Linked DNA regions of Xenopus tropicalis. The protein of the gene in region 3 binds, or shares a complex with, the protein of the main gene of each other region. Links are inferred from orthologs where the notes say so. Each region holds a gene or a part of one and is shown on either strand. Other genes may lie near its edges. The genes, in order: taf7, tada2b and taf4.

What was found.
Region 1: taf4 (region 3) and taf7 share a complex: the UniProt entries of both Homo sapiens proteins name them as parts of the TFIID basal transcription factor complex. The link is inferred for Xenopus tropicalis from reciprocal best matches to the Homo sapiens genes TAF4 and TAF7.
Region 2: taf4 (region 3) and tada2b share a complex: the UniProt entries of both Homo sapiens proteins name them as parts of the TFTC-HAT complex. The link is inferred for Xenopus tropicalis from reciprocal best matches to the Homo sapiens genes TAF4 and TADA2B.

Annotation. Positions count from the first base shown.
Region 1 is NC_030684.2:37,700,063-37,703,661, reverse strand, and holds the end of taf7 (transcription initiation factor TFIID subunit 7-like), read right to left. Parts: intron 3,495-3,599; coding exon 3,327-3,494; intron 3,194-3,326; coding exon 3,081-3,193; intron 2,541-3,080; coding exon 2,481-2,540; intron 1,777-2,480; coding exon 1,732-1,776; 3' UTR 1,284-1,731; exon of another isoform or gene 1,086-1,283; 3' UTR 630-1,085; downstream 1-629. UniProt on the Homo sapiens protein: The TFIID basal transcription factor complex plays a major role in the initiation of RNA polymerase II (Pol II)-dependent transcription.
Region 2 is NC_030677.2:24,535,498-24,539,186, reverse strand, and holds the start of tada2b (transcriptional adapter 2-beta), read right to left. Parts: upstream 2,940-3,689; 5' UTR 2,847-2,939; coding exon 2,577-2,846; intron 797-2,576; coding exon 1-796. Other genes in the region: ccdc96 (coiled-coil domain-containing protein 96), read left to right, coding at 3,110-3,198. UniProt on the Homo sapiens protein: Coactivates PAX5-dependent transcription together with either SMARCA4 or GCN5L2.
Region 3 is NC_030686.2:4,375,608-4,379,262, forward strand, and holds part of taf4 (transcription initiation factor TFIID subunit 4), read right to left. Parts: intron 3,483-3,655; coding exon 3,286-3,482; intron 2,787-3,285; coding exon 2,670-2,786; intron 1,761-2,669; coding exon 1,641-1,760; intron 1,552-1,640; coding exon 1,429-1,551; intron 860-1,428; coding exon 770-859; intron 677-769; coding exon 443-676; intron 1-442. UniProt on the Homo sapiens protein: The TFIID basal transcription factor complex plays a major role in the initiation of RNA polymerase II (Pol II)-dependent transcription.

The DNA.
Region 1 (3,599 bases), on a different chromosome or scaffold from region 3:
AAGCCCCTCTGAATCCACAGACCGGCCCTGAATACAGTCCTACCGGGAGCAGGCTCAGAAACTCCAGATGCCCCAGCATGCACCCACTGCTTTGGGTGAGAAAACTGCAGTATTTAGCTCTATTTCATGCACTCAGTGCATAGCCATTAATGGAAGGATCTTATCTAAGCAAACATCTGGATAGCAAAACTGTGCTCTTGTTGCTCACCACACATACAATGCTCAAACCTGGTGTTAAAGCTTCATATACGATATCAGGAGCATAGCTGAACTTTACAGGGGCTCTTTATGTACCCTAAAAGACACTTGCTTCACATAGGGGAGGTTCCTAAAGAACATAGGGGAGGTTCCTAAAGAAACTATAATAAAAAAAAATGGAAGAAAACAGTGCTAATCCAGTCACATTATTGTACATGAATTCCATTGGCACTGGAGTTAGAATTTTTTGGTTTGAACAAATAATCATGAAAATGAAGGTGTGGGGGTTGTGATTAATCGTTATTTAAGGAATTAGGAAGTATTACAAGTATGTTTCTTCGCACATTGTATCCTTGAAAATTGTCCGTCTTCCCAGTAGCAAGCTGCCTGATGTAAAAATGGGTTTCACCACAAAGAAGCTAATCACAAAATTATGGGTAACAAAGACTTTTATTTGGATGGAATAATAGGTGGAGAAAAACAGACATGACAAAGTGTAAAATAATCATTTACAGTTCATCTGTAGCTGCCAATATTCTTTTTTTTTTTTTTTAAAAAAAAAAAGCAAAGTGACACTGCCTTAACACTAATGTTACGAACAAGCCATTCGTAAATGTGCTTAGTTCACAATGGGCTCTAACTCAAACATTTGGGTTCACAATCTGACCATAGTTGTTTGTAGGCATCAAAATCTTCCATATTAAAGAAAACAGCTGTTAGATAACAAAGGCAAAATTCTAATGTTTTCTCCAGAAAAATCCCAGCAAAACGGATACTTGTATACTTGTATACTCATAGGGGCGCATTTACTAATCCACGAATCCGAATCCTGAATGGGAAAAAATCGGATTGTAAATGAAAATTTTGCACCTTTTTCGTCGCCGTCGCGTTTTTTTCGTATTTTGCACGATTTTTTCGTCGCCGTCACGACTTTATCGTATTTTGTGCTACTTTTTCGTCGCCGTTGCAATTTTTCTTATTGAGCAATTGTAAACAGCGGAAAAACCAATCCGATTTTTTCACGACGGTGACGAAAAAGTCGCGACAATTCGCGAAAAAGTCGCGACGGCGACGAAACGCATTCGGACGTTCGTGGATTAGTAAATGTGCCCCATAGTGTAACGCACTGTTGGACTGGAAACAAACAGCAGGCAAATAGGTTAAATTATGAATACTGGGGTTATAATCCTTGCACCTTGAACATTCCAGTAAAAACGAAAAAAAATCATACATGTAAGGTTCTTTTGCTTATTTGGACTTTCTGTATTGTACAGCAGGCATTTAGTCACAGCACAAACCATTACAGGATCTAAACATCCTCAAGCAGTCACGTTCGAATGGCCTAAAGTAAAATATCTGTTTGGATGTATAATTTTCAGCACAAACAAAATTAAGGGAGACCCAGTCCTCATTGTTTCCTAAATGGAAGGATTTCCTCTGAAAGTGAACATTCTGGAGGATGTGGTAAAAAGCAGTACATCTACAGCAGGGAGGCCAAGTCATAAATATCAAGGAAACCACATCGGAACCTCTTTATTTCTCTATTAGAGTCTCGAGCTGCTCCTGCAGGGATGTCAGCTAGGAAAGAGAAGAGATTATCACAAGGACTGGTGTAAAATAGGTACTGCTACATTTGGTACACTTTATCACCTCCCATTACCATATTAACATTATAATATATTTACAAAAATAAACCATATAAATGGTACATTTATAATGCCTCTGGCTACAGAAAAACGGGCATGCACAAAAGAATAGCTATATCAAACTATGGGATTTAGCAAGGCAATGACAGAATAATAATGCTTGTGTGAAAGGAGAGACTGTTCTACACTATCCTTTTCTTCTATCTACTCCAGTAAAGTTTTAAAAGCATGGGCCAGCTTTTGATTCTTCTGACATCAGCTGGATACTGGACAACTGTGTAGAGATGCTGGCCCATACAAATTCACTGGGGGCCCTAAGTCAACTAGGAAAAAACAAACAGCCTCAAACAGTCTCAAGATGCACAGTCTGTCATCTTCTATTTTCTGTCAGTAGCGTGACTGTATGCATTTTTGTCTGCTTTTGGGGATACACACTGAGAATTACTGCACTTGATAAGCAATAATTCTCAGTCTCCCTGCACACAGTTAGCAAATAACAATGTCGCCAATATACAGCCATACTGCAAAACACAAAACAATGGAAAAAACTTGGAACTATGTCACAGCATTCATTTTGTCCCTTAAATAAGATAAATCTAAGCAATGGGTCACAGACTATAAAGCCATAATACATACCTGTTGCTTTTCTCTTTCCTCCTGCTGCCTAAACTCATCCAACACAGCTTGTAAGCGAGTCTAAAATAAAGAAAGAAAGTTTGTGTGAAATAGCTGCATGGCCAGATACAATCATCAAACTTGTATCAACCCATCTATAATAATCAACCAAAAACAGAAAGAGTAACTACATTCACCATCTTTCACACAGAGGGAGTGTGCCCAGACCCCTAGACCCCCATGGCCATTGTTTACATCCATACTGTATACCCTACAATCTTTGTTTGCCTGTAACTTCCAGTTTCTGGTATGCATTAGTAGTCTTGCACAAGGAGTGTGCCCGGCCCTTCTACTTCATGTGTATTTGAACATTGTGCTCAACCATTTCTCTTGCAAGGAGTGAATGCCCAGGTTCTCATATGCCTGGAAAAAATTGCTCTTAGACACTTCTTACATAAACAGGAGCCCTATCCTGTCCATCCTACCCTATCTTGCATGCCTACATAAATGTCACACACACATATTGCTAAACATAAAATGACCATAGTTAAGCATTTACTGAATCCACTTATATACATTTTCTCTCTCACACAAGGCAACAGTGCTGCAATCATGTGTTACCTTCAGTGCTACATTTTCAACCTTCATTATAAGCTCTTCTTGTCTTTTTCTTCTTTCCTGTGTCTCTCGCAGTTTCTTTTGTAAATTTTCCAGCTGTTTCTGCATCTCCAGAACTGATACATAGGGAAATGGGATATCATTAAGATCAACTTCCCCATAAGTTCTGCATTCTTCTCTGGCTAAAATATTACTTTCACTATAAAAAAAACAAAAAAAAAAAAAACTTGTGCTCCGCTATACTCTCACCAATCTGGTTAGTGCCTCCCTTTTGACCATCCTGTCCTGCCCTCTGCTCCTCCTCAGTCTCCATGATATTAAGATCTTCTTCTTCCTGGCGTTCTCCCTCCTCTTCTTCTCCATCACTGCTACTACTGATGTCATTAAAGATCTGACGCAATTCTTCCCTCTCCACTGCTGGAAAGAGAGAGACATGTTGGGAAAGACAAGTTAGAGCTTAAGATGGAGGGAATAAGAATAATTTAAAAAAGCTAATTAAGAACATAAGAATATAAGCTCATA
Region 2 (3,689 bases), on a different chromosome or scaffold from region 3:
TTTCTCTGTCAGACAGCAGTTCAAAGCCAGCAAGGTTTTCAATGGCAGCAAATTCACTCTCCTTACCGTCTTCTCTCCCTCTCTTGGAGCTCGCAGTGTTCTTATTTTCTTTCCTTTTCTCCCGTTTATGTCTGGCAGCCTCATATTCTGCAGATTCCTCCATCTTGGTAATGCCATTTCGGCGATACCTCTGCAGTTCCCGGATTTTAGCCCTAAGCATTCGCTCTTTGTGCATGTTCTCGAAAAAGTCCTCGATTTCCTTGTTTGACATAAACTGATACAGCGGCCTCAGTTTTAACCGGAGCTCCTTCTCCTCTTTGGAAATTTTCCGTTTGGCTGGTTTGTCTTTGTCCTTTTTATCTTTACCCAAAAAGGCAGGTACAAGATTGTAATCCCTAGCTATGTTTTTCCTCCGCTGCCTTTCTTTAAGTTTCCTCACATACATATCCACATAGGCTTCTTTTAGTTCTACTTCAACGTCATCGTCGTCGTAATTCACAGACAACCCACTAATTAGAGTCTCTGCGTCCTGGTCGTATTCGATTTCATAGTCATCTCGGAGTGGCATGTATCCCAGCTGCTGCTGATCTGCAACTGTCAAGTCTAAAGGAGGCAGCGGGGTAGTTAGGCTCGGGGACAGCGGACCTCCCGTGGGGCATGTGTGGTCAGTTACTCTGTTGGGGATACTGTCTGGAATGCACGCTTTCCCAAGGTTGCCATGAATATACATGGTGACGTAGTGTTCCATTACTTCTGTTGGTGTTCTGGAAGCTCCCACGTGTGCAGCCATATCCTCCTGAGAAGAAAAGGGTAACATCAACAAAAAACAGGCAAAAATTCAAACAAATATAAATTAAAATGATCAATTAAATCACTATGGTAATTGTATTGCACAGATGGGGAGCATGGGGTGGACTACCATTCTTCTACTGTGGGAGATGGTCGATATGAAGGGCAAGTCAACCTTTTCTAACATCCTACCAATGCCTTAGGCAAAATGAAACATCTTTCCCAACAAAATGATTCCTTTATATGCAGACTGTCGAGGTTGGGGTTGTTTTCTCTGGAAAAGAGGCGCTTGCGAGGGGACATGATTACTCTGTACAAGTACATTAGAGGGGATTATAGGCAGTTGGGGGATGTTCTTTTTTCCCATAAAAACAATCAACGCACCAGAGGTCACCACTTTAGATTAGAGGAACGGAGCTTCCATTTAAAGCAGCGTAGGTGGTTTTTCACGGTGAGGGCAGTAAGGCTGTGGAATGCCCTTCCTAGTGATGGGGTAATGGCAGACTCTGTTAATGCCTTTAAGAGGGGCCTGGATGAGTTTTTGAACAAGCAGAATATCCAGGGCTATTGTGATACTAATATCTACAGTTAGTCAAGAATGAAGAAAACAGCAGCACTCCGGTTGTTTTGAAAAATGTGAATCTTTACTAAGTGCCAAAGGCAACGTTTCGGGCTTCACTCCAGCCCTTTATCAAGCCTTGATAAAGGGCTGGAGTGAAGCCCGAAACGTTGCCTTTGGCACTTAGTAAAGATTCACATTTTTCAAAACAACCGGAGTGCTGCTGTTTTCTTCATTCTTGAATTTATCTGCCCGGGCAGTGGGTACAGCGTGCACCTGGGGCTGCAAGAAGCTATTTTCACTGTGTAAGCACATGTTAACCAATATCTACAGTTAGTATTACTGGTTGTATATATATGGTTTATGTATGTGAGTGTATAGATTGGTTAGTATAGGTTGTGTGCTGGGTTTACTCGGATGGGTTGAACTTGATGGACAATGGTCTTTTTTCAACCCTATGTAACTAATAGGCAAAGTATTTGCTTATTTCATTCCCAGGTTTAGCACATATTCAGGGATTGGCAGTGGTGAGTGAGAATCAGTAAGGTCAGTGCCATTTTTATAGGTACTATTAGCTGCTAATATGGTTAATTCTATGTACCTACACTGCTAGGCCTTCGCTAAAGGTGGACATCTTAAGTTAGGGGTAGGATATATCAGGCAGTTCCATTTGTGGGGTGGTAAGGAGGCTGTCAGACATACAGACTCTGTGAGGCGCCAGTTTGCTCTCATAGTAGCGAAGGCAACAGTCTGACACTGATCTATGCCTACTGTTACACCAGCAATTCATACCGGATTGGATAAGATGTAGTTGGGCCTCACAGCCCTAAGTCCCAAGTGCTCAATGTACCAGTGCAGAAAACCCCCTAACCCTCTAAATGCGTAATAGGAAAATCACATGAACACAGCTACCAACAATAACTTCCAAGGACAGGCCCTTATTTCTACCCTCTGTTCCCTTCTCTTACTCTATACTCACTGAGTTTAAAGGGAGTGTAAACCCCTAAACAGTAAAGGGAACTCTAATCAGTAGCTGCCCTTTTCTGCACTGCTGGTTCTGCCTCTTGAAACAATGTAGCAGGATTCTAAAAATAATTGTGGGTAAATTGGTAGTTAAACAAGGATAAATCCATCCATCCAAATCCCAGGAAATGATATCCCAAACGAACAGGTTGGATGCCATCGAGCAGCATCTACTCTCCCCTACTTGCCCATTGATTCTGCTCACCCAGTTTCCGAATCCAAATTGTTCGATTGCATCGAGCAGCAGCTGCTCTTCCCTGCTGGTCCAGCCTCCCTCTGCTTCGGGCCCCCATAGTGTGAATCGGCCGCCGTCTACCAGCTGGTAGCCGTGCCACCGGCGGTGATTGCCGATCTCTGCCCCCGCTGAGAAGCAGTCTGTGCATAGCTCGATGTCCTGACACTCGGTACAACGCAGACGCAGGCTGGTCACATCAGCTAAGCAGTAGACGCAGTACTTCTTGCTCAGGTCCGCCATATTGAGTTGTTGTTGGGGGACTCTGCAAACTACGCCCCGCCCATCGTTTCCCCTGTCCCGAAGCGCATGCGCCGCGCTGAGTAGGGTTGGCCTCGAAGCCCATTGGCTGAGAGCCTCCGGCTTTTGCGTAGCTTTTCATAAACCAATGGGAGTGAGTCACCATTGGCAGAAAGCCGCCAATGTGGTTGAATGAGTACCGCCTCTTAACGCCGTCGCCTTGGAAACCAGTAGTAACTAATACACCAGTTAGGTGACAGGGAGACATGGAGCTTGAGCCAACAGGGAGCAGCGATCCTGCTCTGCCCGACTCTGTGCAGGAGGAAAGGGATGCAGACACTGGAGTGAGAGAAAAGTGAGTGAGTGAGAGAGGTGCAGTTCTGCAGCAGCAAGTGTTTGGCTATCTATAATATAAACACTGAATAGCAAATAGCTGTACTGCAATATAGTGGGGCTAATTTATCAACACTTAGCAGATTTGCACATGGGCTGTCACCCATAGCAACCAATTAACTAGCCAGCTGTAGCAACAATAACAATAATTTGATTGGTTACCATGGATACTGGCCAGGTGTCCCTTCCTTCCAAAGTGGGGTCCCTGGCGTTTGCCCTCTTGAGCGGGGTAAAGGTGGCCATACACGGTAAGAAATCTCCACCTACGGGCGGGAGATATCAGGCTGATTGGTCGTTTGGCCCTGGGGCCAAATGATTGAATTATAACGGCGGGTATAGGCGCCGTCAGTTCGGGGACCGCATCAACGAGCCAATGCGGTCCCCAATACGACAGAAAAATCAAACCTGCCCAAATAGGGGCAGATAATTCTGCCTAATCGATCTAAAGGGCAA
Region 3 (3,655 bases):
AGGGGTGAACACTTATTGGTTGCCTAGGCTAAGCTTATGGTAGCCATACATAGGCAGATTGGGGTACTACGGGCACCCCCAACATGACGACGATCAGGCAAGTTTGATTTTCCAATTGGACCACATCCGATGCGGACCCCGATCCGTCAGGAAAATGAAACCTGTCTGATTGGGGGGGACCCCATAAACGGGCAGATAATCTGCCGAATCGGTCTGAAGGACTCATCTCCTGATATGCCCACCCTGGGGGCTAACGATCGAATTAGCCCAAGATCACCCACCTTTGGTGGCCATATTGGGAGATGATGCACTCGTTTGGGAACCTGGCCAAACGAGCGGATCGGACCCTGTATGAGTCAAGGGGGCCACACATTAAAGGGGAGCTTGAACCTAAAACATCTGAATAGCACTGCTTTACAAAGGGGCTAGTGGATGTACATACCAGTGGGGTGGGCTGCCCCGGCTTGGACTGGGCCGTCTGTGTGAGGCTGATGACCGGTTGCTGCAATGTGTTAGTGACGGTGGCGGTGGTCTTGCCAGCAGTGCGCTGCACGGAGCCGCTCAGCATCACCGCGGTGAGGGCCGTCGTGGCCTGCGTGGGGGGCTGCTGCTGCTGACTCTGCTGGATGAAGGCTGCTGCATCTGGCGTTAATTGGCGCAAGGCAGGGAGGCTCCGCTGGAATGGGAAGGAGGGCACAGATTAAGCATTAAAGTCACAGGGAGAGGGCGGCGGCTTTCAAAAGTCCCTCCCTGCGGGGGCGGGGCTTACCTTCAGGAAAGGCACAAGGTAAGGTTGAGGTGAAGAATTCAGTTCTCTGTACAATCTACTCGTGAAATCCTCTGCTTCAATTTTCCCATCCTGCCAAATGAAAAATGTATTTTTTAGACAAGATATATAAGATGTAATGCATTCATGCTTGATGCATGGTTGGTCCCGCCCATTGTGACATTACCCTAACATGAATAGCATGAAGCAGCATGGTTGGTAACGCCCATTGTGACATTACCCTTACATGAATATTATTATTATTTATAATAATAATATAGCATGAATAGCTTTACAGGAATAGCATGAAGCAGCATGGTTGGTCCCGCCCATTGTGATATTACCCTTACATGAATATTATTATTATTATTTATAATAATAATATAGAATGAATAGCTTTACAGGAATAGCATGAAGCAGCATGGTTGGTAACGCCCATTGTGACATTACCCTTACAAGAATAGCATGAAGCAGCATGGTTGGTCCCACCCATTGTGACATTACCCTTACACGAATAGCATGAAGCAGCATGGTTGGTCCCGCCCATTATGCCATTACTCTTACACGAATAGCATGAAGCAGCATGGTTGGTCCTGCCCATTGTGACATTACTCTTACATGAATAGCATGAAGCAGCATGGTACAAAGGGGCAAAGCCTTACCAGGAGGTTGTGCACTAGTTCTTTCACATTAGCTGCAGTCTCAGAGGACTGTTTACCCGATGAAGCTAACTTGATTAGCGTGGATAAAAAATTCTTGCATTTCTTCACATTTTCCATGGTTTCCTGCGTGACATATAGAAACATGTAATGAGTGTCCGGTCATACAGACTGCACGTATGTGCGCCCCAAGAAGCTAGAAGCAATGGCAGTACCGTGGTGGCTGCGGCAGGGGTAGCAGCTCCTTGCACAGGTCTCTGAGCCGCACCAGTCTGCACGGCAGTTGCGGTCCCCAAAGTGGCAGTTTGTGCAGTGCTGCCGAGCACTATCTGGTTCTGTGGGGAGAAGAGAGAAATAAATAATAATAATAAACCATAGGGAACCTTAAAGGGGTTGTTCAGTATGATGTAGAGAATGATATTGAGACAATTGTATTTCATTTTTTATTATTTACGATTTACCTTTTTATTCAGCAGCTTTCCAGTTTGCAATTTCAGTCATCTGGTTGCTAGGGTGCAAATTACCCTAGCAACCAGGCACTGATTTCAGTGAGAGACTGGAATATCAATAGTTGAGCTTAACAGAAAGACAAGTAGTAAAAAGCAACAGTAACAACAAATGTGTAGTTTTACAAAGCCTTTGGTTTTTTTTACATGGGGTCAGTGACCCCCATTTGAAAGCAGAAGAGAGTCAGAAGGCGGCAAATGATTCAAAAACTATAAAAAAAGAAATAATGAAGACCAATTGAAAAGTTGCTTAGAATAAGCCGTTCTATAACCTACTAACAGTTAATTATAGGGGTGGTTTTATCTTTAAGGTAACTTTTAGTATCTTGTAGAATGCCCTGTTCCTAGCAGCTTTGCAATTGGTCTTCATTATTATAGATTTTGAATTATTTGCCTTCCTCTTCTACATCTACAGTGGGGGGTCACTGACCCCGGCAGCAAAAAGCCCTTTGCTCTGTGAGGCTACAATTTTATTGTTACTTTTTAATCCTTATCTTTCTGTTCAGTCCCCTCTCCTCGCATCTCATTCAAACCACTGCCTGGTTGATAAGGTAAACCAAACCCTAGCAACCAGACAGCTGCTGAAATCCCAAACTGGAGAGCTGCTGAACAAAAAGGCAAATAAGGACCAATTGAAAAGTTGCTTGGTATTGACATACTAAGTTAACTGAAAGGTAAACCACCCCTTTAAAGCAGAGCTGGGCACAGAATGGATGAACCCATGAAGGCAGTAATTACCTGTACAACAGGAGGGCGCTGTAGTGTTGTGGTGGGCTGTACAGTTGTTGGCGCTTGAGTGACTTGCTTGATGATAGTTGGTGTAACCTGTCTGGCTAAGAGCGGCGCTCCTGGAGACTGGGAAGCAATGTCAGGAAGAGGAGTTAGGCAGGAAGGCAAGGGCAGCAATACATTGGCATTAAGTATCACATAGTTTTATGGTATCTCTGTGTACAGGCTATGAGCAAACTTAGGGGGCTGTTCCTGCTGAATTGTGCTTAGTACAGGGGAATCCCTATGTGCCATAGTTTTATGGTATCTCTCTGTACAGGCTATGAGCAAACTTAGGGGGCTGTTCCTGCTGAATTGTGCTTAGTACAGGGGAATCCCTATGTGCCATAGTTTATGGTATCTCTCTGTACAGGCTATGAGCAAACTTAGGGGGCTGTTCCTGCTGAATTGTGCTTAGTACAGGGGAATCCCTATGTGCTATAGTGTTATGGTATCTCTCTGTACAGGCTATGAGCAAACTTAGGGGGCTGTTCCTGCTGAAATTGTGCTTAGTACAGGGGAATCCCTATGTGCCATAGTTATGGTATCTCTCTAACACTGAGGGAGCCGGTCTGACTGCACTTACCTGCACTGCAGAAATCTGTACAGGAGGGGCACTGGTTGGAGTGGCAGGACGGGGAACCATGGTGTTCTGAGATTGCGACTGGGCTTGGGCTTGGGCTTGTGCTTGGGCCTGGGCTTGGGCTTGAGCCTGCATCTGGGCCAGGGCTTGCTGGGGGATCATTAGGAGCTGCCCGCTCTCACTCCGCACGAGGACCATTCCTGGTGGAAAAAAAAGAGACAAAATAATCAGATTTGCAAAACATTTCCTTTGCAGCACTCTCACCCAATCACCTCCCTAGTATTACAACAGCAGCCAATCAGATGCGCAGATTTGCATGCACAGCAGGTTCTGGTGCAACTGAGATTTTTCTACTAAAGGTATGGTATCTCTT